Macaca mulatta: one gene and its partners. The protein of the gene in region 7 purifies or fractionates together with the protein of the main gene of each other region. This does not show direct contact. Links are inferred from orthologs where the notes say so. Each region holds a gene or a part of one and is shown on either strand. Other genes may lie near its edges. The genes, in order: DDX5, SF3B2, SNRPA1, SF3B3, SF3B6, TFIP11 and DHX15.

Region 1 (4,185 bases), on a different chromosome or scaffold from region 7:
ACTTGCTGCACCTGTTGGGCCAGTTCCCGAGTTGGTGCCAGCACCAAACACTAAGGAAAGAGAAACAGCTTTCAGCACAAACCTGGATACTAGTTTTAAACTATTAACTTATTAGTTATGATGGCAGATCCTTTCTTCATGTGTTGTCCAATACCCAAAGCAACTCCAGCTGAATAGGGTGAGCTAACCTCTGTATAAAACCACCACAAATAATTACATCTTTTGCTATGTAGTCTAAAAATCTATATATTACACTTCTAATAAAAAGTTAAAAATATATACTTACAATGGGCCCATCGCCTCTCTCTAGGAATGGCTGATGATTGATGTGGACAATGGCAGGAAGCAAATACTATTTGGGGTGAAGACGGGGACAAACAGAAATCACATTAAAATACTCTTGTTTTTAAATTAGCATTCCGTTTTCTTGCACATATTACATCAAGAGTTCTCTCAAACTTACAGACAATGTTTTCCCAGATCCAGTCTGTGCCACTCCAACCATATCCAATCCACTTAGAGCAACTGGCCATCCCTGAGCTTGAATAGCAGTGGGTTCAGTGAAATTCTGTCTTGCAATAACATCCATGACATTTGCTATAATTAGTGACAGATATTTAACAAAAATTAGTGATGCCAAGGAAAGGAGGAGGTAGGTGAAAACAAAAACACAGGGGTAGGGTAGAACTGAAAAGTAGCACTCACCAGGGAAATTAGCTTCATAAAAATTTAGAACTGGCTTCGGGCAGTTGTGACCTCTAACTGTAATTTCCTTGCTTCTTCTGTATGTTTCCACCTCTTGCTGCAAAACAAATTATAACAGTCTTAAAGCTCATGACAACCACCCCTAACTAAATACGTAATTGGCAAGCCCGTAACTTCATAATTTAGTAACTAGTTTAAAGTAGCTTCATTTTAATCTGGAACCGCGTATGAAAACCCTATATGACAAAAAAACCGTTTATTCTGCTATACTCAATCTAAAAAAAAAAAATTCCCAAAGCCACCTATTTGCAAAAGTGAGTCACACCTTTCCCAATTACGAAGTCAGAAAACGTAACTCTACCAAAATTGAGTTATTTGCAAAACACCTGTCAGAATTTCATTTACTAGACTCCATTGAGTTACAGCCTGATGAAGCCACATGAATTTACTCACTGCTGTCCGCCTAGCCAAATCAGGGTGCTCTTGATAGAAATTCTTCTCAAACTTGGGCAGCTCATCAAGATTCCACTTCTTTTTAACTAGTTTCTCCCCAGGGTTTCCAAACTTCTTTCCAGATAAGGGCCCCGCCCTACTTCCTCCAAATCGAGGTGCACCAAACCTGGAATGAAGAAAAAAAGTTATTTACATTTTCAAATGGCTACACCTAGGTTTCTGGACAGATTTGTTTACCATCCCTTGGCACAAGCTAAAGATCACTGAAAGCCGACTTCGAGAGGTAAACCTAGCACTGTCCTTAGTGATAATCTCTCTCTCAACAGCCACAGTTAACGTTTCCCGTAGTCCCAAGTACACACAACTTAGGCCACGTAAACAGCCTGGGATTTACTATATCGAAAACTTGTCACCCAGATGCCAGAATTTAGTATTACACACCACTTCTTGTGGTTACTATTATCTTTCTCACCAGTCTAGCAATTCATTATCAGTGATAACAAGCCTACATGAACCGAAGAGCATCACAACGATGTTACTCATATGGCCGTTTTCAAGCCAAAGAGCTTTGATGTCAACAATCTAGACAGCACAGACAACGAAAACGAAACAACGGTTTAGAAACACTTCTGCTAGCAAACCGAGCTGGGGGGACGCCGCGGTAGAGCTCCGGATCAACGAATTAAAATTATATAACGCAGGAAAAAAGAAAAGGAGGAGCCGGCGACTACCGGGGGAGGAGTCCCGGCCCGGGCGGAGCCGGCCGGGCGGCGTTCCCGCTGGGGCGGCGCTTCCCCCTTTGTCTCGCATTTCTCTCTGCGCCACATTTTCTCGACGCTGCCATTTTGAGCTCCTCCGCCGGGCGGAGTAACAAAGGCGCCGCCGCCATGTCCAAGGCCGGCATTTTATACCCGCGACTCAGCCACATGGCTGATGCCGGCCGCCCTCCTACCCCCACAGCACCAGTGGCTTTGGAGGTGGTCCCTTCGCTCCCACAGAATGCCCGACCACCCCAAAAACACCTCCCGAAAGGCCGCACCTAACAGCTGTTCCTTCGTCTGCCTCGAAGCGTCGCGCTTTCATCCGAACAATGCGCTCCCTCTGAATTCCCTCAACAGCTACCAAATGGCAGCCGCCCCGACGGCTCCCCGACCCCCACACAAAAAGCGAGGATGAAGACACTATCCCGTCAAATCTCTCCCACTCACTGTTACGTGAATATCAAAATGGCGCAAGCCTTCGGGAAAGGAGGCCCCAAGATAGCCCGGAAAGGCCGAGTCCAAGCCGCAAAGCCCCGGCCCGCCGCCACCCTGACCCGCCCTCCCATCCCCCACCCGCCAGCCCTGACAACTCGGCTCCCACACTCACCCTCGATCCCGGCCGCGGTCTCGGTCACTCGAATAACCCGACATAGCGTCAATGGTTGCGGTTGGCGGGGAACGAAGTAGATAGAAAAGGGTGCGACGAGTCGCTGGAAATGGCTTCGGCGACGGCGAAGCCTTGCGGGGGCGGCAGCGGAGGAGTGACGGCGATGACACCAGCCAAAGCTGCACACCTAGAGACCGGTGGAAATGAATGAGGTGCCGGCCGCTTTCCGGCAGCCGCTTTTATAGTCTGGACCTCCTCCTACGCCGCAAGGCACGCTGGGAGCCGCTCTATGACCTAATCGCCCCGCCCCTCGCGCAGAGGCCGCAACGCCCGCCGGCGTTCCGCGATCGCCGCGCTTTCACCCCACCCCGTGCCGCTCTCTCAGGTCAGGGCCCACCCACCATTGAAATGCCTCATTCTCCACTCTCTTGACCTCACCTTCTTCTCGTCTTTCCACACCTCAAGAAAGCCACCCTGCCCTTTCCCAAGCCCAGCCAGACGATAAAACAGCCAGCCCAAGCCCGCCCACCCTCCCCACTCGGAGGTGTTTACGTCTCCAAAGAGCCCTCACGCCTGTAACCAAATGAGAGGGAAGGCGGGGGCCTGGCGTTGTCACGTGACGTTACCCCCCCACCGCCCACCGTGACAGGGGGCCGCACTACTTCCCCGTTGACGTCGGCGGAGGGATACATAACGAAATAGCTCACCGGAAGTGCGCTGCCAGCACCCGGGACCCGCCCCCAGCTGCCGGCTAACTTGGACCGTCCGACCCACGGGTCTGACAATCCTGTGACGGGTTTTGGCCGGCGGAGAATGGTCTCTAAACTTCCCAAACCGCTTCCGTGGCACGTGCTGTGAAAGGAAGTGCTCCTCTGATGACCAATCAGCGGCGAGAAGTTCTTTTAACGTCCCTCCCTCTTTCACGCCTCCTTCCCCGCGCTTTAGTTCGTGCGCCCGCCCCCCAGCGTCTGCTCTGCGTTCGGTCCTTGCAGGACACCGTCGCCGGTCTGGCAGCGTCGGAGTCCGGCGGCGACCTGCTTCCGAGACATGGCCCGCTCGGAGGCTGGTGAGTGTTTCCCTGGGGTCGCGGTGTGTGTTTACTGAAACTGTCCACCTTCAGGGAGGCCTCGGGCTAGCCCGGACTGGGTCTGGGGTGTCGGCGGGGCTCGTTACTGTCAGACGCTGCGTCGCGGTGGCGGGTTCTCTGGATAGGGTCTCTCAGCTTCACCCCCTCTTCGCTTTGAGGCCGTGGAACAGCAGTATGAGGTGGGAGAGAGGCACTGGGGCGAGGCCGGTAGGACGCTCGGGTCCTGGCTGCAAAAAGAGCAGTCAGAAGGGTCGTCCTCGGACTTGTCTTTCTGTGGGGCGTCTAGCCGCTGTCCATGTGCCCTCCTCCCTTGCACTATGGGCCCTGAGGTCGTACCTCCTTTTGTAGTGGTCTTTAAAGGAACGGCACTCTTAAGGTTTATTCATGCCCCTGCCACAGAAGAATAGTGGTGCTTTTTTCTCTTCAGTGCCCTCTAGAGTCATGGGCTTTGTCTAGCACCGCTTTTGAAGAGCGAATTAATTTGGTTGTCTAGGACGCTTTCATCCTTTTCACTAGGACTGCGTACAAACCAGTTGTCATGGTTTGGCCAGTTGTGAGAAATGGGCTTGGAG
Region 2 (4,240 bases), on a different chromosome or scaffold from region 7:
TCCAGGGAGCTGTGGAGAAAATATGATCATAAAATTAGGAAACATTTATCTACTCATCTGCACATATCTGGGGGATCTACTTTGAGTCAGGAGCTGGGATTCTAAGTCAAATGACACATAGTTCCTAATTCGTAAGAGAGAATGCTCCATAGCCCTATAAAGATATGAGAATGTTAACTTCCGGCACCAACCACAATAAGCTATCCACTCTCTCCAGAAAGATATCCTGAATACAGACTCTGCATACAATTCCAGGAGACTCAAAGACACCTCTGAGGCCATCTAGGGACTCCTCATTCTACACACAGAAATCAATAGATCCTAGGTCAGAGCCACTGCTTTAGAGAAAAAGAAGCAAATCCTGGATCAGAAGCAACATGGAAATTGAGAGGACTTAAATAAACAGGAACCACTGTACCAGGGCAATGCAAACCCCAATGACTGCTAAATGCAAGGAGTATGAAATCAAATCAGGGAGCTCTCAATGTCTCACAAAAGAACATGGGAACTGTTCCTGGGGCAGGCAAAGAAGAGGGTGATTGCTTCCAGCTGGGTAGGGACAAGTCGGGCTTCCTTGTATTCAAGCTGTTTTGTTTTTTGTTTTTTGTTTTTTTTTGAGATAGAGTCTGTCACCCAGGCTGGAACGCAATGGTGCAATCTCAGCTCACTGCAACCTTTGCTTTCCAGGTTCAAGCAATTCTCGTGCTTCAGCCTCCCAAGTAGCTGGGATTACAGGCGCCTGCCACGATGCCCGGCTAATTTTTGTATTTTTAGGAAAGACGAGGTTTCACTATGTTGGCCAGACTGGTCTCAAACTCATGACCTCAAGTGATTGCCCGCCTCGGCCTCCCAAAGTGCTGGGATTACAGGCGTGAGCCACCACGCCCTGCCTCTCTCTTTTTTTTTTTTTTTTTTGAGACAGTCTTGCTCTATCGCCCAGGCTGGAGTGCAGTGGCCTGATCTCGGCTCACTGGCTCACTGCAACCTCCGCCTCCTGGGTTCAAGAGATTCTCCTGCCTCAGCCTCCCAAGTAGCTGGGATTACAGACATGTGCCACCACGCCCAGCTAATTTTTGTATTTTTAGTAGAGACAGTTTCACCATGTTGGCCAGGCTGGTTTCAAACTCCTGATCACAGGCGATCCACCCGCCTTGGCCTCCCAAAGTGCTGAGATTACAGACATGAGCCACCATCCCCTGCCTCTTTTTTTTCCCCCTATTTTTTTATTTTATTTTATTTTATTGTAAGTTCTGGGGCACACGTGCAGGATGTGCAGGTTTGTTACATTGGTAAATGTGTGCCATGGTGGTTTGCTGCACCTATCAACCCACTGCCTAGGTATTAATTCTGGCGTGCATTTGCTATTTTTCCTGACAATCTCCCAGCCCCTGCCCCATCACCCCCCAACCTTTTTTTTTTTTTTTTTTCAGAGAAGTAAAGTCTCATTCTGTCACCCAGGATGGAGTACATGGAGTACAGTGGCGCAACCAGAGCTCATTGCAGCCTTGAACCTCAGGGCTCAAGCAATCCTTGAGCCTCAGCTTAGACAGTAGCTTGGACTTTATAGGCATGTGCTGCCGTGCCCAGCTAATTTTTAAAAATTTTTTGTAGTAACAAGAGTCTCACTGTGTTGCCCAGGCTGGTCTCGAACCCTGGCTTCAAGTGATCCTCCCATCTAAGCATCCCAAAGTGGTGGGATTACGGGCATGTGCCACTGCACCTGGCCACAAGCTGAATCTTGAATGACAGGTAGAATTTGGAGAAGCAGACAGTGGAAAAGGAGGCAAGTATCAGCATCAAAGAGAGAACTGAAGAGCTCACAATTCTGTCATGGCAGTACCTCCTTGCCCAGTCAGTCAGTTGCATCTCAAGTACACTGCAATTGAGAGGAAGGGCTACCCTGAACAGATGGAATCTTTCTATTCCCCACTCAGGTCAGGCGAGATGTGCAAGGGTGTGACGTCTCACACATGCACGCGAACACCGAATCATCATGCTCATGAACTACAAAAGGATCAGCAGATAGAATCTTAAAAAATGGAAGAACCTCCCTACCTGCGCTGACATGGGAGGTGGAGCGGCTTTGTCCCCATCTTCCCCTCTCAAAACCGGCCGATTCAGCACGATGCCAGTCTGCAAAAGAGAAAGGACTCTAGGTCAGTCCAAAACTAGCTGTTTCACTAATCGACGATCTCTCCCAATTCATTTAACAAAACGTATCCAGTGCCTGTCTGCCAGCGCTCCGGCTGGGCACTGAAGAGGACCAAGATGGATACAAGAAATTACAACTAAGCTGGCAAAGGCAAGAACAAGCCAAAAAGGGCAAGCCTCCGCCTTGCTGTGCCAAGATAAAGAAAGAATGAAGACCGAGCCGTGATGGGGTATATAAGGTCTCCTGGAGAAGCTCGGCCTATCCTGACGTCCCGCCGCCAACACCTACCTGGCGGGTGTAGGTCTGCAGCCGCTCCACCAGCTCCTCGCGATTACCTGCGGGGCAAAGTACACGATCAATGGAGCAGGCAAGCCCGGCCAGGTCAGACCCCAGCTGCCCGCCTCCGCCCCTCGCGCCCGGGTCTCCCGGGTAACCAGGCTCCGCTTCTCCGCAGGCCCGTAAAGGTCCCTCGACTTTCTGTGTTCCTCACCCTGGATCGGAGCTCCGATCTCTGCCAACTTGGCCTGAAGCTCCTGGGCAGCCCAGGCGCCATAGTGGCCTGGAGGTGGCGGCGGCGGCAGCTGCAATTCCGCTTTGGGAGGCTCGGGATGCTCGGACGCCATCTTGGCCGCAGCAAGGCGCGCGACCAACCCGGAAGCTCGGGCCGGCCTCTGGGCCCACTTTCCGGAACTTCCGGCGGCGCCGTACGCCACGTCCTCTCTGGTTGGGAGGCGACGCGCACGGAGGCCCACCCGCTGCGGTACGCTAGGCGACGGGATTCGCCGCAGACGCCCCTTTCTCCAGTGGCCCCTCGGCCGTCTGGTCGCTAGGCCTCCTGGGAGTTGTAGTGCGCAGGTCTCGGTCTCTGCGGGCCCTGCGCCAGGCTACGGCCCAGAAGGCCGGCGGCGGGCCGGAGGGCGGGGCTGCGGGGAAGGCTGGCCCTGCCCGGAGGGAGTGTTTTCTGCGCCTCACCTGCGGGAGCGCAGGCTGTCAAGCCTTCCGGCCCGGCTCCCCGGTCAGAGCCTCGGACTCTTACGCTCCCAGGGAGTCCCGAGAGACTCATTTCCCCGGCGGCTCCGCGTTGCGGGCGCCAAGCGGGAGGCTGGAGCCAATGCCCGGGATAAAACAGTGTCTGATTGTCTGCCCGCCCACCCCCGGCCCAGGCCCGGATGAATGGGCTGAAAGGGGATCCGAGCCAGGAGAGGAGCGGGCCCGCCCGGGCTGAGCTCCAGCTGCCGACCTGGGGGAAGGGCGACACTAAAGCCCCCTTTTCCACCTTCCAAGCCGGCTCAAATGTCGTCTTCACTAAGCTTTCTCCCGCTTTCCTTTCCTTTCTTAGAGTTCCCATAATACATTCGAATCTCCACCGTTTGATAAGTCTTTCTTGCCCTTTCTTCCTACCTGCATCCCAAAAATGTGAGCAGGGACTTGATCTTTTTCAGTCTCGCATCACCTGCCGTTCAAGAGGCGCCCAATAAATGATTACTGGGAAAAAGGAACAATGTTTCTGGTGACAGTATTTGTGTCTTTTAGTCTCAAAAATAAACTCAGGCCCCTTTTCCCTCAGCCGCACCTGCACTGGGGGCCCACCTTGCCGCCCACTCCCCACCCCAACTCCCCGTGGTCTTTGGGGACAGAGGCAGATACTGGCAGGGATTCTTGCCTGCCTAGCATCCACCTCTCGCTGTCCCACACCATCAATTCAATTTCTCTCCCCACCTCTGCCACTAGCTCTGCCCTGTCACTAACAGCCAGGCTCACTGTGTGTGTTTTTATGTGTATTGAGTACGGGAATGGGGAGACTTCAGTGAAATGGTCTCATTTTCCCCCAAACATCCCCTTCAGATCTTTTCTCCAGCTCCATTTTGCCAACTGCCCCCCGTGGAGAAGAAGCTGGGAACAGGGGAAAAAAGAATGGGGCACCAGGTCTGGGGAAGGTGAGGTTTGGGAGAGACAGGGAAAAGGATTGGGTTGAGAAAGGTTGGCTCACATCCTAGCACTGGGTGGGAAGTCCTCTTCCTCCTACCCAAACCTTGACCTTTCCCCTTTGCATCAATATCACTATGGCAGGCTCCTGCTGCCACTCCC
Region 3 (4,270 bases), on a different chromosome or scaffold from region 7:
AAATATTTTTTAAAAATATAAAAATTAAATTAAAAAAACCATGTAGGTTTAACCGGTAGTACGTGCTACAGCTTCTTCAGGGAACACTGCAACATTTACCCTAGGGGGAAAAAATTACTTTCCCCTATAGGCACTTACCATATTCTGTTGTTGTTCACTAACAATGTTTTCAGTCTTCTCAACAAAGGAAAACCATCCAGTTTCCTGATCTCATTGTCAGAAAAATCAATAGCATCAAACTGGTCTAATGTAGCACCTAGATTTTCAATGACGGGAATTTTATACCCTGTAAAATGGAGGAAAAAAAAACACACAAGAGGTATTAATATAACTAAACAGCCCCTTAAAACATTAGCAGTATTTCATAGTATCTGATTCCAGGCTTTGATTTATTCAGGAAGCATTACCTAGCACCTATGCCATGTCATACATGCCTTGCCACTGTACAAGATACTAGAGAGAAAATGCTGAACGAGTCTCAAGTACCCAGTGCCATGAAGCTTACAATCTAATGACAACAAGGACAAGAACAATAATAATGGGTGATATAGGTAGCTAACATTTATAAGAACATTTACAAGGTGCCTCACACTGTTCTAAGTCATTTGGGCTAGTTAAGCGGAATCCGCACAACAGGAATTTACACTTTGAGCTGCTTAGTCTCAGTGCCCAAACAGCGTTCAAACATTGTGGATAACAGTTCTCCACTCTTGCATCTCCACGGGCCAGATTCTTAGAACCCATCAGAACAGCCTCAAGATATGACAGTTCTCCCTCCCCTCCCCCAGCTACAATTTAGAGTTGAAGAACTCAATGGTTTACATAGAGTAATAAACCTGTGAACACTCAAATGTTAATTTGTCCAATTTGAGCATAATTACTGTGTTAGGCACTATAAGAAAAGAAATATTCTGAAGAAGCAAGGTCTACTAAAAAAGAATTCACCCAAAGTTAAAGGGCACAATTCAGAGCTATACTACACGTATTGCATCAAAATATGTATTCTCAATATTGCACGTACTCCATAAAGAGAAATGGCAGAGATCATCAAAAGTGGTGAGTTGGGCCGGGCGCAATGGCTCAAGCCTGTAATCCCAGCACTTTGGGAGACCGCGGAGGACGGATCACCTGAGGTCGGGAGTTCGAGACCACCCTGACCAACATGGAGAAACCCTGTCTTTACTAAAAATACAAAATTAGCCGGGCGTGATGGCGCAGGCCTGTAATCCCAGCTACTCGGGAGGTTGAGGCAGGAGAATCGCTTGAACCCGGGAGGCAGAGGTTGCAGTGAGCTGACATCGCGCCATTGCACTCTAGCCTGGGCAACAACAGCGAAACTCCGTCTCAAAAAAAAAAAAAAAAAAAAAAAAAAGTGGTGAGTTGCTCTTGAACTGAACCTTTCTCTAACAAACTTAATTTCAACAAAATAAAAATACTGGGGGCCGAGCGCAGTGGTTCACGTCTTAATCCCAGCACTCTGGGAGGCCGGCGGAGGCGGATCACCTGAGGTCAGGAATTCGAGACTAGCCTGACTAACATGGCGAAACCCCGTCTCTACTAAAAATACAAAAATCAGCCAGGCGTGGTGGCTCACGCCTGTAATCCCAACAACTCGGGAGGCTTGAGGCACAGGAATCACTTGAACCGGGGAGGTGGAGGTTGCAGTGAGGCGAGACCACACCACTGCACGCCAGCTGGGGTGAAAGAGCGAGACTCCATCACAACACAACACAACACAACACAACACAACACAACACAACGGGATTTCCCAAAGGTCAGCAAGAAATCTAAGCAGAACACAACACACAACACAACACAACGGGATTTCCCAAAGGTCAGCAAGAAATCTAAGCAGATCCCGCAGCGATGCTGCTCCAAAGCCATAGGTCCCCGTGGGAACAAATCTCAGGCTACGGCTGCATGGTCTTATCCCCAGAGAAGTTGCTCTTCACATCCTTTTTAAAGTCGTCTCCTGAAATGCCAACTAGCTAGCTGCCCTCCCAATATCTTACCAAGTCTTGCTAAGGTTGAAATAGTACAGGAATCTGAATAATTGCGAGCGCTTCCACAACTTACACACAGCACAGGGCTGTGCAAACCTGGGTCACACAGTTCAATTTTTAAAACGTCTTCATAAAGGGGAAACGCCAGACAAAGGTACTAAGTAGAAAATACTGGGGGAAACAATCGCTGTTGTTCGGGGACTTGGTTTCCTCCCTCACATTAGGAACAACGAACACATATCCCATCTACGCTCAAAATATCGTCTGGCGGCAAGTATTAAGAACCAATCACTCGCCCTGCACTAGCGTTACAACCATTAACGAGCCGCTCTTCCGGGCCCTCAAACAGAGCCAACTGCGAAACAGCCAAGCAAGGCCTAATAGAGCCCCACGAGTATGCACCAGGAAGTAATGAAGTCACTCGTGCCTGTCAAGAGGCACGGCGGTAAGAGAAGGCTCCAAGAGCCTAACGGGATGCTCATTTGGCAACAACGGCAAGAATCAGGCCCCGCGTTCCCTGCGCAGCCCGGTCGGAGCCCAGACAACCGGCCCGCGGGCCAAGCTCCGGCCTTCGGTGCACGCGGCAGAGCGCGGATAATAAGGCGACGCGGTGCCGCCCGGGGGCTGGCCGCCCACGCCCTCGGACTCACCTCGGAGGTCCAGCTCCCGGTCGCGCACCGCGTTGGTGTACTGCGCCGCCTGCTCGATCAGCTCCGCCGTCAGCTTGACCATCCTGCTGCCTCCCGTCTCCTCGCGCCGTGGAAAGCCCGTGGCCTCCCGCCAGCGAGACGTCCCAGCGTGCCCCGCGCCCCACCGCCAGGCAGCACCAATCGCAGCCCCCGAGTGCGCGCGCAGCTCGCCCGCCAGGCCGAAGCAATGGAAGAGCCACGCCTTCGGGGTCGTTCTTGCCGGAAGTCTTGCCGGGCGCGCAGGGGCTGTGTCTGGTTCTGGGTTCTTTCCTGGGGTGTGTTTGGAGTCTGGAGAACCTATGATTCCAGACGTTGGTGTTTAAAAGTTAAGGCGAATGTGGAAACATCCGAGGGGAACTTTTTCATGCATTAGCGCACCTTGAGGTGGGACGGGAAGCTGTGACTGCTCTCCCTCCACCAGCCGGCGCGGGGACCCGTGGGGTTCAGTGAAGGGTCCAGGAGTTCAGGTACCCGTCCTGGGCCTGGGCCTGGGCCTTGGCTCCGGGTTACAGTGTGAGATCCCGGGCTAGGTGGCCCGCCTGGGGCAGGTCGCCGGGACAACCCCACAGCTCCGCAAGTCCAACCTGGCCTAGGGCATGGTAGGGTTTGCGGTTAAGCTTGTGGCCTTTAGACTTCTGAATATTCATATGAAGTATGATATACAGAAAAGTGTGCATATGATGAATTTACAGCGTGATTAATGACCAGAGTGAACACAACTGCTTAGCCGACACCGAGATCCAAAAAACCACTATTCTGAAAGCCTTCCTCTTTCCCAAAGGCAACCGCGAACTCAACACTACAGATTCGTTTTGCTTGCTTTTGATATAAATAGAATCATGCAGTATGCTTTTTTTGGCCTAGTTTCTTTGAGTCTATATTATGTCTGGAGTCCATCCAGGTTGCCTACAGAGATGGTTTGTTTGCTTTCGCTGCTGAAGAGAGTTCCATTGTATATATTATACCATAAATTACTTATTCTGCTGTTGATGGACATCAAAGTTGTTTTCTGTTTAGGGCTATTCTGAGTAATGCTGCTATGAATTTTCTGGTACGTGGATCTGATGCACATTTGCATGAGTTTTTCCTGGAGTGGAATTGCTGGGACATAGGGTATTATATCTATCATCAATAAGTAATGCCCAACAGTTATACTAAGAGGCTGAAATAATATACACACTCCAGCGGTGTGTAAGGGTTTTCATGGCTTCCAGCTTCAGGCTTGTTTGCATTTTAAGTCTATAACTTTAGCTATTCTGATGGGTGTGTGGTGGTATTGCACTACTGCTTTGCTTTTCTCTAATAACTAATGAAGCTGAGAACTTTCTCATGTGTATGGTGCCCATTCTGATAGCTTCCTTTGTGAAGTGTTCTTTCGAGTCCTTGGCTCATTTTTTTCCTTATGGAGTTGTCTGCCTTTTTTCTTATTGATTCTTGGAATTTCTTTATATATTAGGCATATGAACACACGCTGTGGCTTGCCTTTTCACTCTTAATGGTGTTGTTTGATTAGAATTTTTTTTTTTTTTTTTTAAGACAGGGTCTCGCTTTGTCACCTAGGCCAGAGTGCAGTGGTGC
Region 4 (3,500 bases), on a different chromosome or scaffold from region 7:
CATTTCCACAATACACAAGGACTCAGGCTGGGCTGGGAGAGCCTGCATGCTTAGAGGTTGCAAACAGTCCTGAGAGGGAGAGAAAAATCATAAAAACACAGAAAATGACAATTTTAGGACAAAAACATACCCAGAGAAATCTAATTCTAGGATTGAAAAAGTACTTCCTTATGCACAGAAAAAGCCCCGGGAGTGAGTTCTAAGAGAGTATTGGGTTATTAGTTATACCCAATCTCAGAATAAGCTTCAGGAAGATCATGCTTTCCTCCTTGTGTCAAAGAAGATAATGGTAAAGGTAATTAAGCAAAGCACACCTCCCGAAAAGTCATCTAGGGTCCTGCAGCAAGTCAAATTTATGCAGTCTCGGTTTTTAACTAAAAAAAGGGAGTTGAGGTTTAAGCCAAAGAAACATTTCTGTAGTCTCAGATCATATCCTTAAACCACAGCAGGAAACTCCTGGAACACACTGCAATGACAAGAGAAGTAGCAGGTATGGATTCTGGGGTCTAACCCAGTTGATCTCAGAGATGGACATCAGGAGTGGGCCAGATGCTCAGGTTCCAACCAGATGATCCTTGAAGCTCAGAGTGTCACTCACTGAGGGGTCCAGGGAGATTATTCTGACAGTGTTGTCCACAAGCCCCACAGCCAGGAAGCGAGACCGCTGCTCTCCAGGGGGTACATTGGCCAGACTCATGCACACCACATCTGCTGACATCTCCTTCCGTTCTGTGTACTCATTCAGCTGTCCTGACTATAAGAGGAAAGACAGAGCGAGGTCAAAACTACAAAGGGGTGGGTCTATATGCTCCAATTCACCCCAAAACCCTGGATCCAGAGAATGAAGGACGGCTGTTGTATTTTCTTCTGCATACTCTCACTCCTCTTACTATAATCAATGACAAGAATTTCTCTACCTGAGTTCTCAAGACTGAATTTAATAGGCTCACAGCAAGCAAAATGAGTATCTTCCATCAATAAGAGAATGAACAAGGTCAATGTGCCACAAATTTTCTTAGCCAACTTTGCTCTCAGGAAATGGAGATATATAAAACTGTTTATGTGTTTACAAGAATACTTTGGGTGAAGGGAATTCAAATATGGTTGAAGACAAAGACATCTCAACCAAAGGTACAGTCAGGCTACAAATCTGGCCACACTAGAGCCCTCCTGAGAGCAAGGTAATTATGTGTACTGAACATTCTTCCATATAGAAGTTTTCTGAAATGGAATCAGACTGCAGAAATCAATTCTATGCCAAATATTTGTTGGAAAAGTAGGGAGTGAAATGCAGGAGGAGCAAGTGTTTCGTTGCTAACAGGGGAATTCATAACTCTACCCAGAATTAGACATCAACTTACCCTTTCTCCCCATCTCTGTAAAGGGCCAAATTGGTTTGTGAACACTGTCACTCCAACTCCCTTTTTTTTCTCTTTTTTTTGAGATGGAGTCTCGCTCTGTTGCCAGGCTGGAGTGCAGTGGCATGATCTCAGCTCACTGCAACCTCCGCCTCCCAGGTTCAAGCAATTCTCCTGCCTTAGCCTCCTAAGTAGCTAGGACTACAGGTGTGTGTCACCAGGCCCATTAATTTTTGTATTGTTAGTAGAGACAGGGTTTCACCATACTGTCATCTAAATGACTAGATTACAATGCCCATCCTTCCCTCTGGACCCTGCACTAAGTCCCACAGTGAATGATAAAATAACATACGGGATCCATCTCGAAATAGACCAACTCTCCTCCCGTCAGGGCAATCACCACTTGTCGCTGGTTCACTGCACACTTCACAATTGTTTTCTTTCCAGGGGTCTTCCACTCATTGACTCTCTTGTCTGCTCGTATGTGCCGAATGCCATCTGGATAGACCTAGAGTCAGTAACAGAAAGAAACCTGACTCTAACAATTTGATTCATCACTCAGAATGACCCTCACATCTATCAGATCTGTCACTACAATCAGATGTAGGGCCACTGCATTTGAGTAACCAGTTGAATCAATGACAAAAGAGTTAGCAGGCCCCAGGCAAGGTCAACTTTTAAATAGTTAATGTTTTGCGGTGTCCACTTCAAAGAAGTTCAAAGCTTATTAACAAAACACTTACAAAGATCTTTACTAGAGATGAAAGCTGCAGTGATGTGGCTTTGTAACAGAAAAATGGCAAATACAGAGGGGGATGTTATGTGCCAAAATCATAAGCTCCATCCCTAAGGCTTACTGGAAGGTGAGAGTGAAGAGACATGAACACAGCAGCCACATCACAATGAAGGCCAAGAAAGAACAAAGCAGGCCAAGTAGGTAAGCTCTGAGAACCCTCACCTGCACCAAGGCATCATCTCCTAATAAGGAGCAGGACAAGGTCGGGGTGGTCCCCAGGAACCCAGAGTCAGTCACTTCTTCTACAGTCTCTCCAATGGACAACACCAGGGTGGCATTCACGAAAGACACAATGATGTAGGCATCAAACTCATCTGAAAAAGAAAAGAAGGGAGCTGGTTAGATAAGAACTCATCAGAATTACAAAGCCAAATAAAACACTAAGAGTTCTCTTCAGAAACCTTCCAAGGCACTTCTTCTATGCGTAGTTATTACACACATACACACATACACATGCACACAGAGCAAGATGATCCAGAAGAAAACTAGGGGTCATAAGAGCCTACAGATATACCCTGCTTCCTCAATGTTTTCTTGAGACATCTGCTAAAGAAGTGAGAGGGACAAAGCAAGGGAATCGGAGGCATGAGGACATTTTAAATACTACAATGTTGATACATGAACATACTGAGCTAGAGCTTCATTTATTTGTGCCAGTTGTCAATCATACAACCCCTTCCTAAGAAGAGATAGCTAGAGCTTCATTTATTTGTGCCAGTTGTCAATCATACAACCCCTTCCTAAGAAGAGATACTCCTTCTAACTAGGAAAGACCCCTAACTTCTTCCAAAAGAAGCTTATGTAGAAATGAACATAAGCTCTAATTAATAAAACAGAGATTACTTAAGCCTCTGTGACACTAACTCATTCTAGGGTTGGAAGCTGAGAATCCTAGTCCCAGTGAGAATGATGTAAGAAAACTAGATAACCAGGAAATGGGGGGTGGGGATTGTTTATATTGTTATTCCTTGACCTGTCTGGTTTTTCACTATTTAGAAACAGAACAATTGTGTGGTCGTGAGCAATCCTATTAGAATTTGCTTCTTCTAATTAAATGTGGTTGAATAAACACTAACGAGTTTCTCAAGGAAGTCAGACGACTTGAGGTATACCAGAAACCCTCAGTTTCTTCTGCAGATCCCATAAAGGCCATCTATTTTCCATGTATCTCACCCTACAACATACAACAGCTTCTGCCAGTGTCCCCATCCAGTACCATGTTTGGCATAAAGCTTGATAAATGTTGACTAAAGGCATGCTAATTTTTTAAAAGAGTTGAGATTTTCCTCCTTTACATTTGAATTTTTGTATCAACACCCCCTTACCCAGAAATCAGGTAAAAAAGG
Region 5 (2,929 bases), on a different chromosome or scaffold from region 7:
AATTTTTTAAAAAATTTAAAGAGGCAAATCTAAGTTTCTAACAATGTACTATCATCTAAGTGACCATTTCTATAACAGACCTCTGTTCTAAAGACAAGGGTACCCATATTGACAAAGGTGTTTTGTTAACTATAAAGCAAGCATTATTCACATGTAAAGGCTTGGTTAATAACTGGTTGTTATCACACCAGCTTTGTATGTTAGCATTTTATTCATTCAACCAACATCATGAGCTTTGGTTTCCTCACCTGCAAAATGCAAATACCTATCTTTACTGAGTTGTTATGAAGGTTTAATTATTAATAGACATTCAATAAACAGCAAGTTCCTTTGATGGCTAAGCATTGCACTGGGCCCTGGAGGCATTAAGAATTTACATTAAGAGGTCCTGTTCTCAAGAAGCACAGAATCCCTAGGAGCACCTACAATTGTTGATAAGCTTCGACTGTTTTTTCCTGGTATCAAACAGGAAGGGAAAGTTCAAGAGAAAAGATTGAGGTGTTTCACAAAAAGCTGTAAGTTTATTAACACAATGTATTCTAATATGTATCAAAGTTTCAAGTAGGTCATGTTGAACCTCAAATTAGAAATCACAATATTTAGTATTAATTAAAAAGGAAAAAAAAGTGGAAAATTGTCATTCATGGGATTTAGTCCAAAATGAAAATGTAGAAAACATTTATTTTGGTGGATCTGTGTTGATGCCATATTTCTCCTTGAGAAGCTTCAACTGTTCCTCCTTTTTCTTTGTGTCCATCTTCTGAAATGCCTGGAAATGTGGTAAGCACCAAAATTAAATTACCAATCTATAGCCAAATGAATTTCATCAATAGCATTAGCCAAAAAACAAAGTCACAGTAGACATATATCATCACAGTACAGTTCTACACTAATTCTCAAATGAGATCACTACACAATGAGAACTTACTTACCCTGTTGGCATTATAGTACAAAACCACAAGGTATCTGTTACAAACATTGAATCCCGATAGGTGATCACATGCATTCTTGGCATCAAAGATGTCCTCATAGACCACATAAGCTGTTCCTCTAGTTTCAGGTGTGTTCCCCCTGGAGAGTTAAATCAAATTTAATTAAGATATACATTTACCGAGCATTGATAGTTGACTTACAGAACTGTCTTTTAAAAACAGTAAATTGAAATATGTTTTTAGTTAAGTATTTTGAAATCAACCTGAAACCATTAGAGGAAATAAACATGGATAGATATACTGGATAAACCTGTAATTTCTTGAATTAGGTAATTTAGCTTTTTGCTTTTATCTTAAGTAAAATATCTATGGGTCAAGCTGACTGTCACATCAGGAATACTAAGAACACAGCTACTACACAGAACAGCCTCGCGAGTTGTGGGGACTACAAGTGCTCTTGCCACCCTGACTGGCTCTACGATGTCTTTGTTTTGTTTTGTTTTTGTTTTTTTTTAGATAGAATCTCACTCTGTTGCCTAGGCTAGAGTGCAAGTGGCATGATCTCAGCTCATTGCAACCTCTGCCTCTCAAGTGATTCTTGTGCCTCAGCCTCCCAAGTAGCTGGGACTGCAGGCATGTGCCACCAAGCCCAGCTAATTTTTGTATTTTTAGTAGAGACAGGGTTTTGTCATGTTCCCCAGGCTGGTCTCAAACTCCTGACCTCACATGATCCGCCTGCCTCACCCTCCCAAGGTGTTGGAATTACAGGCATGGGCCAACACAAACGGTCTACATTCATTTTTAATACAACTCAAATGCTAATGCATGATACAGCTGTGTGGCTAAGGAGAAGGGCTAGGCTTCTGCGAAGATGGGAGTGGAAGTGTGCTTGTGGACAGGGTTATCTGTGAGCCAGGGCAGAATGCTGGACGGTGGCTGGAAGTGGAAGCTGACTTTACTCATGGATACGGGGTTGCTGTTAGTGTAGGTATTCCTGGCTACTTCCTTCCTTCACCTCACCAACTTCCTCTGGGAGAGGTAGAGAGGTTTGAGGAGCAATGGAACACTAAACTGCAGGCAGCAGATGGCCATGTGACTGTTAGTGGAGACAATGGGTAGAGGTCTCACTCAGTTCAGGCTCTAGGTGACAAGATGGCCCCCTTGCCTCCATCTGTGTTCCAACTACCCAGTGCAACTACTGTGGAATGAGCTTTAAGACTGTGGGCTGACTCTCCATCTGCCACAGTCCCTACATTGGGTTGAGTAAAAGCAGTGGAGCCATGGGAAGAGGAGGTAGCTGCCTAGACTTGATCTAGGACAGGACTATAGTCTGGGCCCTGCTCAAGCTTGTGCTTCCTGTAAAATTGAAAAGGTATAGGGTACTGCGGGTGATTGGAGGGTGCCACTGTCGATGAATGTGCTCACTTTGTCAGGTTGTGTGGGCCTGACAAGGGGTTTTAGAATGTTCTTTAGGCTCTGGGAAGTCTTAACAACTTTCAGACTTTTGACTTTTAAAAACTTAACAAGATTTTCAGTTCCTTAAGAGCAAAGGTGATCTTATGTGTACTTCATTCACTCCTTTAGTGCCATGCATAAGGCAGATGCTAATATGCCTTTGAAAAGTAGAGATCTACTTTCTCCTATCAATTCTCTCACACACACTTTGTCCAGGAAGCTCAAAACAAAACAAAGCAACTCTCTTTCTTCCTCTCATATCTTCTTAGGAACTAGAACAGGGATAGACACTAACCCCACTTTAAAGACTCTCCATCTTAAGTTTCCCAGCCCTAATTATCAACCTCACACCTTGAGAGCCATACTATAATTTGAACTTTTAAAGGCATGTATTTGTACCTACCACGTATTGGACACTGAGCTAACATTATTTTCTTATTTTTTTGAGACAGAGTCAAGCAATTCTCGTGCAGGCGTGCGCCACCATGCCCGACTAATTTTTGTATTTTTAGTAGAGATGGGGTTTTGCCATGTTGGCCAGG
Region 6 (3,642 bases), on a different chromosome or scaffold from region 7:
ACCCAGGAGGTGGAGGTTGTTGTGACCTGAGAGGAAAACGGACATTATCTTTGCTCTTTGTGCTTCTGTGGCTTTGCCAGTACTAAAGCTGTGCCTTATAGACCGGGTTTCTCTTCCAGGGATGTGTCTTGGTGAGCTAGTCATTAACCCCCACCAGCAGCACATGGATGCATTCTATTGGGTGATCGACTGGGAAGGGATGATCTCTGTCTCTAGTCTGGTGGGACTTCTTGAAAAGCACTTCTTCCCCAAGTGGCTTCAGGTACACTGTTTTGCTTGGCTTTCTGGGGGAGGGAACTGAGTGGGGATTAAGTTAATTTTCTGCCGAGGCCTGACTGTAGGTACAATTCCATAATAAAAATGAATTACATGGTAGGGTAGGAATGAGTTAGGTCATCTTAATAGTGGCCACCATTTATTGGACATTTGCTACGTATCAGAAGCTGTTCCAAGCACTTTATTTGCTTTATCTCAGCTCCTCGCAGCAACCCTATGGGGTAGGGGCTATGGTATCCCTGTCGTGTAGACATGGAAGCGGAGCTCAGAGAGTTTACATGCAAGGGCACTTTAGCTACCAGGCTGACTCCAAAATCCATATTCGTAAGTCCTAGACTGTTTAGCTACTATAAATCCCTGTAAAGTGGTGTCACTAGCCTGCAGGACCAGGATCAAAACAAAACAAATGGCCCCTTCGGAAATCTTGCCTTCATTTGTTGCCACCATGGATGCAAGTAATTTTTCTTTTTGGCAGGTGCTGTGCTCTTGGCTCAGTAACAGCCCAAATTATGAGGAGATCACCAAGTGGTACCTGGGTTGGAAGTCTATGTTCTCAGACCAAGTGCTGGCACATCCATCTGTCAAGGACAAATTTAACGAGGCACTTGATATCATGAACCGGGCGGTGTCCTCCAATGTTGGTAAGTGAGGATTCCCATTTTGGATGTCCTGGCCCTGAGTTTCAGATTTTACACATGTAAATGACACAGAATCAGAGTTTTCTGGTTCCTGTAGGCAGCCTAAACCTTAGGTCGCACTTTTGCCCATAGCAACAGACTCTCACCCTGCTGATTGGGGTACATGGTCAGCTGGCACCCACTGCCCAGGTCTACCATGACTGAGAGGGGCATCTTCCCTAAGGAGACTGACTTAAGCTGGATTCAGATGTCAGTCTAACCCCAGGCCCCGCCCTCTTAACCACTGTGCTGTGTGGCCTTTTAAGGCTCATTCAGCCCTGAACCCGCTGCCCAGGTCACACATCTTACAGTGTGGAGTTGGGTACACGGTCTTACACTTGGTGATTGCTCAGCCTTCATCAGCCCCATTTGACCTGTTAAACAGTAAGATCTACTTCATAGGCTAAAAGGGGGATTGAGTTCATGCTTGTTTGCAGCCTTCAATAGGTGGTGTCTGTGTTGTCAAAAACCGGCAGTTCACTCTTCATGTACTATATCTATTCCCAAGTTCTAGGCAAGTCATTCTGCCTAGATCATAAGTAAATGAAAGTATGTTTATGTTTCTACATTTGGGAGCCTATTTCAACCAGTCGTGTGCTCCAGTGTTGCTCATTAGCCGATTCACAGCATTGAAATGGGATCATCTAGTCTGTTTCACAGATAAGCCCAGTGAGGCTAAGAGCCTGTTCAAGGTCACATAGTTAAAGGGTGGCAGTTAGAACTAGAATTTCTATTTCCTGAGTCTTTAATTCTTGTTATTTAATAGTTAGCCTAGGCCAGGCGCCGTGGCTCATGCCTCTAATCCCAACACTATGGCAGGCCGAGGCGGGTCAATCACGAGGTCAGGAGTTTGAGACCAGCCTGAACAACATGGTGAAACCCCATCTGTACTAAAAATGCAGAAATTAGCCGGGCGTGGTGGCACATGCCTGTAACACCAGCTACTCAGGAGGCTGAGGCAGAAGAATCACTTGAACCTGGGAGGCGGAGGTTGTAGTGAGTGGTGGAGATCACAAGCACTGCATTCCAGCCTAGGCGACAAGAGAGAGACTCGGTCTCAAAAAAAAAAAAAAAAAAAAAGAAAAGAAAAGAAAAAAAGAAAAAATAGCCTATTCTGTGAAAACAGAGATTAAGTAATAAGGCAAATATACTTCTCTGCTTCCGTAATTATCAAGTTCTTTCTAAAAACTCTTCCTTAGCTACCCCTGGCCTCATGTTTCCAAAACTCTTCCCTGTATATACCCCTCAGTGAGCACTTAGCATTTATGGTCTTGTATTATCCTTAAACACCAATTTCAGCTCCTCAAATATACGTGAACTCCTTTCAGGATGTGGGGCCTGTGTGGGTAGGTTAAAAATAAAGCCAGTGTGGGCCTATATTTTCAAGGTACTAAAAGCTGCCTCTTTGGTGGTATGAAGTGGAAACTCTACAGGGCAAGGTGGAAACAGGAGAGTGGCTGAGGACTCTGCTGTTTCCAGCTCTGAAAGAAGAAATCCCTTGCAGATACTTCATTTTTAAATGTTGAATATTTAATAATCTCTTTGGTTACTAGATACTAGCCAGAAACCTTCTGAACAGTTTTTATGTGATACTGGCCAGTTGTCTAAACTTCCTCCAAAGTTGTATCTTTGAGGCAGAACTGCCCTTCAGTGAGTCACAAACACTCTGGCACACCCAGACCTGGGCCAAGTCAGCGTCAACTTCCATACACCTGGAAACACCTCTCCTCACTGCCCTGTCCTCCTGTATCTCTCAGGTGCCTACATGCAGCCAGGCGCGCGGGAGAACATTGCCTATCTCACCCACACGGAGCGGAGGAAGGACTTCCAGTACGAGGCCATGCAGGAGAGGCGGGAGGCTGAGAACATGGCCCAGAGGGGCATTGGCGTGGCCGCCAGCTCTGTGCCCATGAACTTTAAGGACCTCATTGAGACCAAGGCTGAGGAGCACAACATTGTCTTCATGCCCGTCATTGGGAAGCGACACGAAGGGAAGCAGCTCTACACCTTTGGCCGCATTGTGATCTACATCGACCGGGGAGTGGTCTTTGTCCAGGGCGAGAAGACATGGGTGCCCACCTCACTGCAGAGCCTGATCGACATGGCCAAGTGAACTGTGGCAGGCCCAGAGCCAGCCAGAGACTTGCCCCTGAGAGGGATGTGTTGTGAATAAACGGTATTTTAGATCACCTTCAAAAGCGTAACTTCTTTACTCGGGAGCTACTCCACATTGGGCCAGGTCACGAGGGAAGCATGTAAAGCGGGACAATGCCACTTAGCAGTGCAGGAATCTTTATACCAAGTCCTCATGGGGGGTATTGTCCTCAAAACAAGACAGCCAAGTTGATGTTCTTTCCTGGCAAAGGAGTTCTCTGTAGTTCCTCCATGGCAGCCTTCCCTTTAGTCTCCGGTGGCAGCTTCTACCTCAGCCAACACTGAGTACCTCACAGTGAGTTCAGTCAGTAGTGGAAGGATCTTCTGTCTTGTTCCTGATGATTTCAAGGTCCTCACAGTCCTGATAATCTGGTTCTTCCTGAAACTCCCAAATATCTGTGGAGAGCTGTTCTAGCTTTTGCATGGGGAACCAGTGGACAGAGGTGTCATTAAATATGTCCATGTATTGTGAAGTCTGAGGAAACTCAAGCTCCTCCAGTCCTTTTAAAATCTGAGCAGAAAAATTCAAGTGTGA
Region 7 (3,500 bases):
AACTGGAGTCCATATTAGCTGCCTTCACTTGAGCCATCCCTAACTAAGCCTGGTTTCCCTTTTTGGTTCATTGATCATTCTGACATCATTTGTTATTTGTCTTCCATTTATGTGTCAGCATTTCTTTAGTGTAGATGCTGCCCCTCAGTCCCACTTCTTTTATTAATAAATTCCTTTTGTGCATTAAGATTATTTTTTGGGGGTGGGAGGAGGATGGCAGACTCAAGCGCTGTCAGCCCTTTTGAACCAAGAGCCTGGTGTTAGCTTATTAAGTATAAGTAAGGAATTGTTAAGGCTTAACAAAAAATGTTTATTTGCATGTGGTAACATTTTAGTAGTGTGACATGAAGCAACTTAAAATGGTTTATTAGTTTGTTTTGTATGTTGAGTATTTGTATGTTTTTAAACGGTTTAAGAAATTGAAAATGATGAATTTTGCCTTGGCATTTGTGTGAAACCGTGTGATCGTTATGTTCCATAATCGGTCATAAAGTCTTCCCAGTACATTTCAGTATTATATTTTTCAAGAATTGATAATGCATATTGTGTTTGGTTGTATACTCTTAAAAAAGATTTTCTTGAAACTTAATTTTGCAATTGATCGTGAAACATTAGCACATTTGTTTGGGGCAGAAGTTTAGTTTTAATTTACCTAATGTCTTTGCATTTCATTTTTGTCACGAAGTTTGGTTTTAAAATGACCTAAAGGAACCTTTAACCAACATGTTCTTTGGAATATAGGTATATGACTGATGGGATGTTACTTCGTGAAGCTATGAATGATCCCCTCCTGGAGCGTTATGGTGTAATAATTCTTGATGAGGCTCATGAGAGGACACTGGCTACAGATATTCTAATGGGTGTTCTGAAGGAAGTTGTAAGACAGAGATCAGATTTAAAGGTGAAGTAATTTCTTCTCTCCATTTAATTATATATGTGTGTATATGGGCATAAAAATGGGGAATACATACTGATCAATAACCAACTGTAAGAAATCACCTGTAAAAGAAGGAACTAGTAAGTACCTTCTTGTTTTGTTTCTGCTTTGCTGTGTCTTCATTTTAGACTTTAAGTATATTTCTCCCCCTTTTTAGTAATGCATTTTTAAGCCAAATCTTCTCAATTTCTTACCCACCTAGTTCTTTTATAATCTAATAACATATATGTGTAACTGCGCTACTCACTCTACCCTTCATTAAGTACAGAGGCCCCCTTTACTTAAGGATCAAATCTTTGTTCCTCAGATCCATGTCCTTGTCTCATCACAAACACCCATTGTAACTTAATAGTGTTGGAGAGTGGAAATAACTATACATAGGACAGGCAGCTCCTTAGAAATGTAGTCGCTTACCCTAGTGTATTACTTCTTTTCTCCATACCGCATGTACCTTGGCCACTGTTACTATGTTGATTAAGGGCCTAAAACTATTTTTGACATTTTTGTCCCCCAAAGTCTATGAAGTTCACCTTTTTGCTGTGTTGTGTGTGTTTACTATTCATTAGAATGTAGACTCATCCCTTGTTGATATGTGTGTTATAGAAGGGTTCATAGCCTGGCAACAGAGCGAGACTTTATCTCAGAAACAAACAAACAAGGGTTCAGCACTGGCAAGAAAGATTCTGGGTCTTTAGAAAAAAAATTGAGACCCGAGCATGTTTTTGTTTATAAAAATTAGATCAATGCTTTAAAAAATATATTTAAAGAATAATGTGAGTACTGTCATTATTTATTAAACTTGCTGTGCTACCAAGGTTTTAGTGAGAACCTGAAAGTAGAAATTAAGAACTCTAGTGAAACATTTTAGGGAGGAACCTTCTTTTTATATCTGGTCCACTAATTTTTGTTTGTTTGTTTGCATTTTCTTTCTGTTTTTCCCTATTTGCAAAGTTTTGTTTTAATAATGGTAGCAGTAATTATCCTACGTATTAATGTTTTCTTTTACCAATCTGAATTACATACAATTTTATAAAATCTGATTTTTAAGGTATTTTATGAAGAAATACTGTAGTTTATGCATTTATTTTTTTTCTAGATTTTTTAAAATGTAAATAACTTTTACTATAGTTCAGCCATTATGTATTTGATTTTTCATTTACACTTTAAAAAAAGGTTTTCATGGGCTTTTTAATAGCTGATATATACATAGAATAGTGAATATTGCTATACTTTAAGACCGCATAAGAACCCTTGAAGACAGCTTCAAGTAATTTACTGTTTTCTTTCAGGTTATAGTTATGAGCGCTACTCTAGATGCAGGAAAATTCCAGATTTACTTTGATAACTGCCCTCTCTTAACTATTCCTGGGCGTACACATCCTGTTGAGATCTTTTATACTCCAGAACCAGAGAGAGATTATCTTGAAGCAGCAATTCGAACAGTTATCCAGATTCATATGTGTGAAGAGGAAGAGGGAGATCTTCTTCTTTTCTTAACTGGTCAAGAGGTATTGTTTTAATTTTCTTCATTATTTAGCTTTTGACATACTGTTTCTAATATGCAGCAACTTTAATCATAAGAACATGGCATGTTAATCATTTTATTTCAATGTTCTTCAACCTGATTATATTAATATGTAAAATATATAACCCCCTTTATCTGTATACTATAGGAATACTTTTATATACCACTAGAGTTTGTGTTATAGTTAATTATTTTAAGAGTGTTAAATGCTTTTGGAATTTTAAGATTTTGCAATTGCAGTTTAGGAGATCCGTGGGATACAATTGGTATTATGCTGAGGCATGAATTTGCATCATAGCTGCTTTGAAATCAGGTTATCCTCATACAGTTATTTAGCTTGTGAGTGAACTTGGGTGCCTATTCATCGTCAAAACACTTCAGTTTGGTTTTGTCTTCCCATATGCTCATGAAGGTTGGAAAGGATTACTAAAAGTTCTTAGTTAGAATTTACTTCATTTAAAATTGTATTCTCAGATGTAGCATTTCTAAGCTTATTTTCAATAGGGTGTTTATAGGTGTGCTTTGGAATTCTTGAATGGCTAAATAAATTCAGAAGCTATTTGGATAATACAAAGTTTTAAAAAGGCTTTTACGAAAGGGTTTTTCTTTTTCTTTTTTGGGGTGGAGAGGGAGGACAGAGTCTCTCTCTGTCACCCAGGCTGGGGTGCAGTGGCATGATTATCGGCTCACTGCAACCTCTGCCTCCCAGGTTCAAGTGATTCTCTTGCCTCAGCCTCCCAAGTAACTGGGCTCACAGGTGCCCACCATCACGCCTGGCTAGTTTTTTTATTTTTAATAGAGACAGGGTTTCACTATGTTGGCCAGGCTATTCTCGAACCCTGGACCTCAGGTGATCTGCCCTTCTCAGGCTCCCAAAGTGCTGGGATCATAGGTGCAAGCCACCACACCCAGCCCCAAAATGCTTTTCTGATGGCATATGAACAGCAATGGTGGTATTGAGACTGTTGGGATAATCATTTTGTCCTCCTGTGTCTGGTCTCTCTAGTTTCTCACTTCCTCCAAAGTGCATAGTGTATT

The links.
Region 1: the proteins of DHX15 (region 7) and DDX5 fractionate together in Homo sapiens (co-fractionation; 3 studies listed by BioGRID). This does not show direct contact. The link is inferred for Macaca mulatta from reciprocal best matches to the Homo sapiens genes DHX15 and DDX5.
Region 2: the proteins of DHX15 (region 7) and SF3B2 purify together in Homo sapiens (co-immunoprecipitation; 3 studies listed by BioGRID and IntAct, with this or other methods). This does not show direct contact. The link is inferred for Macaca mulatta from reciprocal best matches to the Homo sapiens genes DHX15 and SF3B2.
Region 3: the proteins of DHX15 (region 7) and SNRPA1 fractionate together in Homo sapiens (co-fractionation; 3 studies listed by BioGRID and IntAct, with this or other methods). This does not show direct contact. The link is inferred for Macaca mulatta from reciprocal best matches to the Homo sapiens genes DHX15 and SNRPA1.
Region 4: the proteins of DHX15 (region 7) and SF3B3 purify together in Homo sapiens (co-immunoprecipitation; 4 studies listed by BioGRID and IntAct, with this or other methods). This does not show direct contact. The link is inferred for Macaca mulatta from reciprocal best matches to the Homo sapiens genes DHX15 and SF3B3.
Region 5: the proteins of DHX15 (region 7) and SF3B6 fractionate together in Homo sapiens (co-fractionation; 3 studies listed by BioGRID and IntAct, with this or other methods). This does not show direct contact. The link is inferred for Macaca mulatta from reciprocal best matches to the Homo sapiens genes DHX15 and SF3B6.
Region 6: the proteins of DHX15 (region 7) and TFIP11 purify together in Homo sapiens (co-immunoprecipitation; 4 studies listed by BioGRID and IntAct, with this or other methods). This does not show direct contact. The link is inferred for Macaca mulatta from reciprocal best matches to the Homo sapiens genes DHX15 and TFIP11.

What each region holds. Positions count from the first base shown.
Region 1 is NC_133421.1:74,403,430-74,407,614, forward strand, and holds the start of DDX5 (probable ATP-dependent RNA helicase DDX5), read right to left. Parts: upstream 2,801-4,185; 5' UTR 2,571-2,800; coding exon 2,527-2,570; intron 2,505-2,526; exon of another isoform or gene 2,242-2,504; coding exon of another isoform or gene 2,198-2,241; intron 1,325-2,197; coding exon 1,159-1,324; intron 803-1,158; coding exon 706-802; intron 598-705; coding exon 464-597; intron 353-463; coding exon 287-352; intron 51-286; coding exon 1-50. Other genes in the region: CEP95 (centrosomal protein of 95 kDa), read left to right, coding at 3,574-3,592. UniProt on the Homo sapiens protein: Involved in the alternative regulation of pre-mRNA splicing; its RNA helicase activity is necessary for increasing tau exon 10 inclusion and occurs in a RBM4-dependent manner. Binds to the tau pre-mRNA in the stem-loop region downstream of exon 10.
Region 2 is NC_133419.1:8,360,864-8,365,103, forward strand, and holds the start of SF3B2 (splicing factor 3B subunit 2), read right to left. Parts: upstream 2,801-4,240; 5' UTR 2,776-2,800; coding exon 2,643-2,775; intron 2,488-2,642; coding exon 2,441-2,487; intron 2,134-2,440; coding exon 2,056-2,133; exon of another isoform or gene 1,934-2,055; intron 1,320-1,933; exon of another isoform or gene 1,191-1,319; intron 627-1,190; exon of another isoform or gene 571-626; intron 58-570; exon of another isoform or gene 46-57; coding exon of another isoform or gene 10-45; coding exon 1-9. UniProt on the Homo sapiens protein: Component of the 17S U2 SnRNP complex of the spliceosome, a large ribonucleoprotein complex that removes introns from transcribed pre-mRNAs.
Region 3 is NC_133412.1:91,654,048-91,658,317, forward strand, and holds the start of SNRPA1 (U2 small nuclear ribonucleoprotein A'), read right to left. Parts: upstream 2,801-4,270; 5' UTR 2,736-2,800; coding exon 2,654-2,735; intron 287-2,653; coding exon 139-286; intron 1-138. UniProt on the Homo sapiens protein: Involved in pre-mRNA splicing as component of the spliceosome. Associated with sn-RNP U2, where it contributes to the binding of stem loop IV of U2 snRNA.
Region 4 is NC_133425.1:69,293,784-69,297,283, forward strand, and holds part of SF3B3 (splicing factor 3B subunit 3), read right to left. Parts: intron 2,469-3,500; coding exon 2,317-2,468; intron 1,867-2,316; coding exon 1,711-1,866; intron 755-1,710; coding exon 599-754; intron 70-598; coding exon 1-69. UniProt on the Homo sapiens protein: Component of the 17S U2 SnRNP complex of the spliceosome, a large ribonucleoprotein complex that removes introns from transcribed pre-mRNAs.
Region 5 is NC_133418.1:100,972,796-100,975,724, reverse strand, and holds the end of SF3B6 (splicing factor 3B subunit 6), read right to left. Parts: intron 1,072-2,929; coding exon 933-1,071; intron 770-932; coding exon 680-769; 3' UTR 501-679; downstream 1-500.
Region 6 is NC_133415.1:25,062,731-25,066,372, forward strand, and holds the end of TFIP11 (tuftelin-interacting protein 11), read left to right. Parts: intron 1-119; coding exon 120-262; intron 263-751; coding exon 752-917; intron 918-2,465; exon of another isoform or gene 2,466-2,710; coding exon 2,711-3,066; 3' UTR 3,067-3,142; downstream 3,143-3,642. Other genes in the region: SRRD (SRR1-like protein), read right to left, coding at 3,409-3,618. UniProt on the Homo sapiens protein: Involved in pre-mRNA splicing, specifically in spliceosome disassembly during late-stage splicing events. Intron turnover seems to proceed through reactions in two lariat-intron associated complexes termed Intron Large (IL) and Intron Small (IS).
Region 7 is NC_133410.1:23,574,618-23,578,117, reverse strand, and holds part of DHX15 (ATP-dependent RNA helicase DHX15), read left to right. Parts: intron 1-741; coding exon 742-901; intron 902-2,226; coding exon 2,227-2,445; intron 2,446-3,500.